Linked DNA regions of Canis lupus familiaris. The protein of the gene in region 1 purifies or fractionates together with the protein of each later gene. This does not show direct contact. Links are inferred from orthologs where the notes say so. Each region holds a gene or a part of one and is shown in the gene's direction. Other genes may lie near its edges. The genes, in order: MAPK3 and DUSP6.

Region 1 (4,560 bases):
AGGGTAACACAGCAAGTAAGTGGTAAAGATGAGATTCTAACCCAGGAAATCCAGACAGCTCTTGCTCTTACCCACTAGTTCACAACTATATAGTAATCTTTCATTAGCCACAGTGCCTACCTAGCTAGGAGTTTTGCACACAGTGCAATTCAATTGCTTATCAAATGAATAATTAAAAACAAAACAAACAAACAAACCTACCCTGAAACATTGATCTAATTAGCATCTCTTAAACCTTCACTGACTTGTAGGCTATTGGGAACCAGCTACTCAGTCTCATTAATCTGAATTAGAGTGCCTGGCTGTAGATCTAATTATGAGCAATTTCAGAATCATAATTACTGTTCCATTTGGTCTCTTGATCTGTAATGCACATAAGGATCTACTCTTAGCTTCTAAGGGATTATAAAACAAACAAACAAACAAAACCCAACGTGGTTACTTACTGAAGGCTAGGAGATGTGTTTTGTGAAGCGTCCAGCTCACAGCTTCTCTGTGAAGTGAGGGGAATGGACTGGATGGCCTCGGAGGGCCCTTTCCTGGGTTTTAACAGGCTCTGATTCTGGGAGATTGAATGGAATTGAAAAGAGCCTCTGCCTCTGTGTCAAAAGATATCATTTTAAGTCTCAACTCCCCATCCATACAATTTGATTTATCCAGTCAAAAATCTTTGAACGTCTGAGCGTCAGGTACAGGGGAGGATACAGTAATGAGCAAGACAGACATGGCCCCTGCTCATCCTGTTAAGAAAATCGGAGGACACCTATAATGTGCGGTTGTCCTATGGAAGAAACCCAGCTGGTCCAAGTATGGTGTAAACTACAAAATCTTGCATCCCATCAAAAGATGGTGATCCTGCCAGGATTCCAGTTTCACCAAGTCCAATGACAACAAAATCGTCACCTATTTTGCTGTTTTTTGAGAGAAGCCTGATAGTGTATTTTAACCAAACCTGGTCAACACTGCAGGCAGCTTTCCCGCCCTTCTGTTGCAGTTCCACCTAAATGGGCTGAGGTTATGGGTGCTCACTTCCAGCACTGTACTGTCGCTGGCAAGAGGCCAAGCCCCTAGTCCACTCTCGCAGGCCTGTCAGAAACCCATTAGGCTGAGTCTGGACCTGCGGGTTCTCGGTGGCTCCAAGTCACCAGCCTCGGCCCCTCATCTGTGAAAGGCAGGCCGTATCTGCGAAGAAGCCATCTCCCACGCTACTGGGAAATGCGGATGCGGCCGTGTGTCGTCGGGCCGAGCCTCGCTCGGAGGCCACACTCCAGAGGGCTGGGGAGGGCCCCCTTGGGGCTCCATCTCGAGCCCCGGGCCGCGACTCGGTTGGCAGCAGAGCTGGCGGGGCCAGGCGACTCGGTCCCGGCCCCAGCTCCCGCACCCGCTTGCTGGGTGGCTCCGGGAAGGTCACCTGGCGGCCCTGCCGGCTATAGCCTGCATTCGGCGGGAGGGGTGCACCGTCTCCCGGCCGCCGCGCTCGTCCCTACGGGCTGCCAGCAGCAGACGGAGCGGCCGGGCACCGGGGACCCGGGCAGCAGCCGAGGGCGCCCGGGAGCGCGCGGGGGTCACGTGGGGCGCGCGGGGGCGCGCGGGGGCGCGCGGGGGCGGGGCCTGGCGCACGCGGCTCAGCCGGCGGCGGGGCGCGGGGCGCGGGGCGCGGGGCGGGCGGGAAGGGGCGGGGCCTCGGGCGGGGCCGCCGGGGGGAGGCGGGGAGGCGGGAGGGGAGGAGTGGAGATGGCGGCGGCGGCGGCGGCTCAGGGGGGCGGGGGCGGGGAGCCCCGGGGAGCCGATGGGGTCGGCCCGGGGGTCTCGGGGGAGGTGGAGGTGGTGAAGGGGCAGCCGTTCGACGTGGGCCCGCGCTACACGGAGCTGCACTACATCGGCGAGGGCGCGTACGGCATGGTCAGGTGAGGGGGCGTTCCGGAGGAGGGGGCTCGTGGGGGGGCGCGCGCGAGGGTGAGTGCCCTCGGGCCGGGGCGCTCCCAGGGTCCCGAGGAGGCGGGGGCTTCACGAGGCCGGCGGGGCGTCCCACGGCGCGGCCCTGGGGTGCTCTGGGGGAGCGGCGCCGCCTACGTTCTAAGGGGAGGGGGCTTGGGAGGCCTCAGGAGCGACCATTCTGTAGTGAAGGGAGGGGCATCGGAGTGTCCGCGGGGGAGCCGTGGGGGGACCCTGGGGACTCTGTGGACGCGGGAGGAGGCGGAGACACGAAGTATTCTTGGGGAGGTGATATCAGTGAGGACCGAGTGAAGGACCCTACTCTGGGGAAAGGATGCCTTGGATTCTCCCAGTGAGGCCTGCCAAGGAGCTGGGGAGAGCAGAGCTCAGGGCTGGGCAGGGTGGGGCAGGGCTTTGGGCCTGGGGCCAGGAGCCCGGTGACCCATGAGGGGTCCAGGGGTGCGTTCTTGCAACTTTTAGAAGGGGTCTGTTAGCTCTCTCGTCCCCACTGTGTGCTCTGGGCCTTTGTTCATCTGGGAACAGCTCTCCTGCCCAGGTGCCTGACCCTAACACCTCATCCCTTCTTTCCCATCCCTCCTGACCGCCTCCTTCTCACTGTGCCTCACTGTGCGTCCTGCACTCACCTCCCACTCCCTGGACCTGTCTTGGGTTGAAGGAGCCCAGCCTGGAGAGGGGAGGATGAGAGGTCAGGGCAACTAGAATGGACAGGGCTGAGGAGAGGGGAAGTCAGTGAACGGTCAGTCTCTTCCTCTGTTTGTGAAGTCACCGAAGGGCTGCCTGGCTGGTCCCCAGCTTTCTCCCTGGAGATCCCAGGCCTTCACAGCAGGAAGGAACCAGCATTGTTTATGACTTGGCCAGAGTCCTCTCATGCTCCCTCCCCTCCCTGCTCAGGCCTGGGTAGGGCCACCAGGCCTGGACTCCCCCTATGTAAGGCCACACCAACAACATCTCTCTGACCCTCTCAGCTCAGCTTACGACCACGTGCGCAAGGTTCGCGTGGCCATCAAGAAAATCAGCCCCTTTGAGCATCAGACCTACTGCCAGCGCACACTGAGGGAGATCCAGATCTTGCTGCGCTTCCGCCATGAGAACGTCATTGGCATTCGGGACATTCTGCGGGCGCCCACCCTGGACGCCATGAGGGATGTGTATCCTTCACCTTGGCCAGATGGCTGGCTAGGCATAGCCTCAGAGCCGGGCTGGGAGAACGTTGGCTTTCTTTCTGTTTCCTTCTTTCCTGCCACACTCCAAAACAAACCCAGCAAATGAAACTTTCCAGCAGAAAAGAGACCACAGAGTGTAAGAGGACTGGGAGGCCTGAGGTGAATCCTGGCCTGCTGTAACCAGGCTGTGTGGCCTTGGGCAAGTCTGTGCTCCATGCTGTGCCTCATTTGGGGGGAGGGTGAGAGTTGGGCTCTATGGGAGCTTTGTCTTTTGACATCTGCATTTCTGTGACGTGACCCAGCCTCTGCCCACAGACAGTTCTTGTTTAACAGATGATGATTCTTTCCTCTCTGGGTCTGCAGACTGGAAGGAAGGCAGGAAGGAAGAAAACTGCCCGTTCTGAAGGGCCTACTATGAGTGAGGTGCAGTGCACGCCAAATGCTTTGACACTTCTTATTCTACCTCCCAGCTGCTGTATGAGATGGGTCTCATCAGCTCCATTTCAAAGATGAGAAAACTGAGGCTCAGAAAGCCCCAAATCAGGTGCTGCTGTTGCTGCCTCCTAACCTCCCCCAGATGAGAACTGTCCTTTCTCTGACATTTCCTGCTCAGAGCCTCACCCCAGTCACCTGTGGACTTGCACTTCGCCCAGGGAGGGACAGCCTTGTCTTTGTTGCCCTCCCCCCCCCACATTGCTTCCCTAGCTTGTCGTCCACTTCCTGTCAGGCCCTGTTGTTAGCAGCTTATAGCACCCATCACCTCTCCCCACCCTACCCACCCCCAGCCAGTCCCAGTTCTCCACCCAAATGTGGGGATTTGTGCTGCACTGTCTGCAGCCCCCACCACAAGCTGTGGGCAGGAAATCTCCACACTCGCCACTAGCTTGCTGTGTGACCTTAAGCAAGTCACTGCATCTTGCTGGGCCTCCTCACCTCTCAAACAGCATAATCGGCCCAGGTGTCTTCAGAAGGCTCTTTCAAGGCTGATTCTAAAAGACAGCCCTGACTTATTCTTTCAGAGAGCAACCAAATGGCATTTATTTATTTATTTATTTATTTACTTAACGTATGTTTAATCTTTGTTTTCTCTTAAAATACCAAAGGACATTTACTCTTCCATCTTCTGATGTATGGCCAGGCACTCTTTGAGGAGGAGCATGCTGTTGGGAGTTTCTCCTCATTTGTCTTGCCCAAACCATTCCCCATAAGGCAGGCATTTATTTTTAAGCAAACATTTATTGCATGCCAGATGGTGTTCACACTATCTCATTTAACCCTCTCAACAGCCATGTGGCTTAGGCATTTATCATAGCAACACTAGTTCATGTTTGCTGAGCACTTACAACATGCTAGGCTCTGGACTGGGCCGGCTGGTTTCCATGGGTCACCTCACTGAGTCTTCATAACTGCTTTCCAAAGAGCCACTCTCTCTCCCCTGCTT
Region 2 (4,386 bases), on another chromosome or scaffold:
CGGGCTAGGGACGCCGCGCCCGCCGCACGCAGGTGGCTTTCCGCTCGGGAGGGGCCGGCCCGGCGCTTTTCTCTAACAATAGGGCCCCGCGCGCCGGGAATGCGCCCCCCCCCCCCACGCCGCGGCCCCCGCCCGCCCCGCCTCCATCCGGTGCCCGGCCCGCCCGGCGCTTCCCGGGTACCTGCTGCTCCCCTGCTGCTCCCCGCGGCGCCCAGCCCTCCTGGCGAGCCCGGGGGGCCGGGGGAGGTCTCGGCAGGCGCCCCGCCTCGCCCCTCGCCCACCCCAGGCCGTGACCGGACCCCGGACCCCGGACCCCTCCGCGGGGCCGCCCAGCGCCGCGCACCCCGGGGTGGGGGTGGGGGGCGGGGTGCTGGGCGGGAGCGCAACGCGCAGGCGCGCCCGGTGCTGCGCAAAGTGCCCGGCGCCCCGGGGCGGGGGGCGGGGGTGGGGGGGGCGCCTGGGTGGGACGGAAGGCTCCCCTCCGACGGGCCCCCCCGGCCTTGCGGGGGGCCCGCGCGCCCTACATGCACCGAGCCCAGGCAGCCCCGCCAGCCCGGCTCCTCTGTCGGAAGCCGAGCTTGCTGCCCAGAAATGATTAACGAGCGCAGCTCCCCGGCGCGCGGTGGGTGACCGCGGGAAGGCGGCGGGGGCGGGCGGGGCGCGGGGGGGGGGCTTGGATCCCCGGAACAATGATGGCTCATAGCGCCCCAGGCCACTGGAGAGGAATAAAAACATCGGACTGGCCAACCAGTTTGTTTCTGCAGGCTCCACTGTTTAAAAGCAAAATAAAGTTAATTTAAATGCAATTTAAGACAAAACCCTTTCTCCCTATCATCTGGACAGCCAGGCATTTGTTTGTTTGCTTGCCTTAAAAAGCGTCGACAAAAATCCTAGTCTGTTTCGAAAAGATGTTGGATTAGCATTTAACACCTCATCGGTCACTAAAGCCCAGGCAGTTCACCAGCCCCAACACAGCCTCGGCTAAAAGAACATCAGAGCAAACAGAGCTGGGCTTTTTAAACGGGCAAACAAATGCCACACACCGCCGAGAGGGGGGAGGAGGGGGGTCCAGGCGAACTCCGGTCCAAATGAGTTTAAAGGGAATTAAAAAAAAAAAAAAAAAAAGGAGCGGGGGGGGAAGCACAAGTTTTCTTAAAGCTAGCCTTGCAAGCCCAGGCGTCACGAACAAGGGCTTTTGTGCCTGCTAATTGCACCGTTTGTGCGCAAAAGTTCCGACGCGAAGTGTGAACTCTCAACAGAAGGAAACATGAGACAACCGGAGTGCCCCGGTTTATGTGCCCTGCTCCTCCTCCGCCGCCGCCTCCTCCTCTCTCTCCTTCCTCCCGCCGAGCCCGCTGTTGCAGCTTGTTTGCACTGGGGCTTATCCGGAGCGGAAATTCCTTTCCGTTTTTGTGAATGACAAACTCATTAACAATTCATCAACACAACCTGTTCCAGCCGGCCCGTCCCCACGGCAACAGCCCCTTCCGCAGCGCGCTCATTGGCTGGCCGGGAGAATGTATCCATTGAGACGCTCGCTGTTTGTATCCATTGAGGAGCTGCCTCGCGCAGGGGGTGTGCGAGGGCTGAGTCCAGGGGCCAGTGAGCAAATCGAGGTTTGAATAATTCGAGGAGAGAGGCGCCCGGGCGGATTTGAGGTGCAGCCTTGAAGGGAGGGATTAGGAGCCGCTGGACTTTCTTTCTTTCTTTCTTTCTTTTTTTTTTTTTCCTTCCCTTCCCTCCCCTCTTAGTAGCAGGGAGTCCGAATTAATTGGATTTCATTCACTGGGGAGGAACAAAACTGTCTGGGCAGCTTCATTCAAAGAGATTCATTGACCCCGAGAGCGAGCGGCTGCAGCTGGGTGCGGAGGGAGCCGCGGCCCCGCGTGCCCCGCGTGCCCCGCGTGCCCCGGCCGCTGCCCCGGGTGCGGGGAGGGCCAGGTGGAGGTAGCGCCCCGCTGCTCGGCGAGCGGCGGCTCCGCGCGGCGCGCCCGGCCTATGCCTGCCCCGAGGGCCGTCTGGTAGGCACCCGCCCTCCCCGGCAGCTCGACCCCCATGATAGATACGCTCAGACCCGTGCCCTTCGCGTCGGAAATGGCGATCAGCAAGACCGTGGCGTGGCTCAACGAGCAGCTGGAGCTGGGCAACGAGCGGCTGCTGCTGATGGACTGCCGGCCGCAGGAGCTGTACGAGTCGTCGCACATCGAGTCGGCCATCAACGTGGCCATCCCGGGCATCATGCTGCGGCGCCTGCAGAAGGGCAACCTGCCCGTGCGCGCGCTCTTCACGCGCGGCGAGGACCGCGACCGCTTCACGCGGCGCTGCGGCACCGACACGGTCGTGCTCTACGACGAGAGCAGCAGCGACTGGAACGAGAACACCGGCGGCGAGTCCGTGCTTGGGTTGCTGCTCAAGAAGCTCAAGGACGAGGGCTGCCGGGCCTTCTACCTGGAAGGTAGGCAGGCGCCGGGGGAGCCCCCCGGGCGCGGGGGAGGGTGATGGGGGAGGCCCGGGGTTGTGGGGTGCAAGTGAGGCCCGCTGCGCCCACGAGCAGCCTGGCGCAGGATCCACCCGCTTCCGGCCGCGGACACGCGTGGTTTCTTTCTAACGAGTTCCCCTGCCTCCACCTGTGCCTGCTTCCTACCGTTCGATTTTGAACTACGATTTGCAAGACAGCAGAGGCCCCTGGGCAAGGGGGACGGGACGGGACGGGCCGGGGGAAGGAGGAGGGGGGGCTGGGCTGCAGATTTGCACCTCCTCGCCCCTCAAAAAAAAAATTTTAGAAAAGTTGCCATTTTGTGCATTTCCGGATTGGAAAGCAGAAGGGTTTCCAGGGAAGGCGGGCCTGTTCGTTCCACTCCCCAAGGTGCACGTTTTTTTTAAGTGTCTCTCTCTCCTGCAGTTGGCTCGGGGTGGAGGGGGTTTCGGAGGCTGCTGTGGGGTGGCCCGCGCCCGCCCGGCTGCGGCTCTCGCAAGCTGTGAAAACTACTACGGGATCTCAGGTTACACGGTTGCTCTTCTCGCCCTGGCAGGTGGCTTCAGTAAGTTCCAAGCCGAGTTCGCCCTGCACTGCGAGACCAACCTGGACGGCTCGTGTAGCAGCAGCTCGCCACCGTTGCCAGTGCTGGGCCTCGGGGGCCTGCGGATCAGCTCCGACTCCTCCTCGGATATTGAGTCTGACCTTGACCGAGACCCCAATAGCGCGACGGACTCGGATGGCAGCCCGCTCTCCAACAGCCAGCCTTCTTTCCCCGTGGAGATCTTGCCCTTCCTCTACTTGGGCTGTGCCAAGGACTCCACCAACCTGGACGTGTTGGAGGAGTTCGGCATCAAATACATCTTGAACGTCACCCCCAATTTGCCGAATCTCTTTGAGAACGCAGGAGAGTTCAAATACAAGCAGATCCCCATCTCGGATCACTGGAGTCAAAACCTGTCCCAGTTTTTCCCCGAGGCCATTTCTTTCATAGGTGAGACTAATGAACCGTCCTTCCTCAAGACTTTTAAATGCAAAATTCCCAGCCATTCATCGAACCTAAGCTGTTAATCTTTCTTGCCGCTGGCTAGCCCGGCCGACTGCAGGTCTCTAATGTTACGGGGGTGGGGGTGGGTTCTTAATTCTGGTTCATCTTCTCGCCAAGAGGACGAAAAGTGCCTTTCGACTTGGCTGCAAACCACAGGTGTATTCGAAACGGCGTTTCTCGAGTCTTTGCATTCACTCATTTGAAAGCAGCCTGTGCATAATCGGGCAAGAGAATTTTCTCACAGTCTTTGGACTTGGGGAAGGCTAGATGAGAGATGAGAGTACTCCCTACGGACAGGCATTTTAGCATCGCTTTATAATTTTAAAAGCCCCGGGAGTTACAGTAGGATAGCGGGTTAGTTGTTGGAAACCCCTCTGAATGCTGGATGTTGTAATCCAGTTGAATGTTACTGTGATACCGGTTAACAGTGAGACAGTGGTAACCTGAGCCCAGCAGGAAGGACTGTGGGCTGGAAGCCTGGAGAAGCGAATCTCCAGGCATTGTAATGCATTTCCTATTACAAAGGAACTCATTTTCAGGCCATGTCGACATCCTGTTCCTCCTAATGGGCTGTCCCCTGTGACTTCCCTCTCTCTTTTAAAATGCCTGAATACCTCCATTGTTAGCTGCACAACAGTTGGAGAATAATTTAATAGACCCTTGCAGTCTGCTTGTCTGTATAAAAGGCATTCAAGACCATATTGCAGGGTTTCTGGTATTCACATGCTGAGGCAAAGAATGCACACATTAAGGATTTTTTTGTTGGCAGAAACTTAATACAAAAGCTGCCTTTTCAGAAAATATCTGAAATATGTAATTGTGCCCAGTGTACATGTTTTATCGCAATGATACATTTGCTGCT

What was found.
Region 2: the proteins of MAPK3 (region 1) and DUSP6 purify together in Homo sapiens (affinity purification with mass spectrometry; 7 studies listed by BioGRID and IntAct, with this or other methods). This does not show direct contact. The link is inferred for Canis lupus familiaris from reciprocal best matches to the Homo sapiens genes MAPK3 and DUSP6.

The regions. Positions count from the first base shown.
Region 1 is NC_049227.1:18,278,763-18,283,322, reverse strand, and holds the start of MAPK3 (mitogen-activated protein kinase 3), read left to right. Parts: upstream 1-1,720; 5' UTR 1,721-1,734; coding exon 1,735-1,907; intron 1,908-2,921; coding exon 2,922-3,104; intron 3,105-4,560.
Region 2 is NC_049236.1:30,629,830-30,634,215, reverse strand, and holds the start of DUSP6 (dual specificity protein phosphatase 6), read left to right. Parts: upstream 1-1,519; 5' UTR 1,520-2,055; coding exon 2,056-2,455; intron 2,456-3,032; coding exon 3,033-3,470; intron 3,471-4,386. UniProt on the Homo sapiens protein: Dual specificity protein phosphatase, which mediates dephosphorylation and inactivation of MAP kinases. Has a specificity for the ERK family. Plays an important role in alleviating chronic postoperative pain.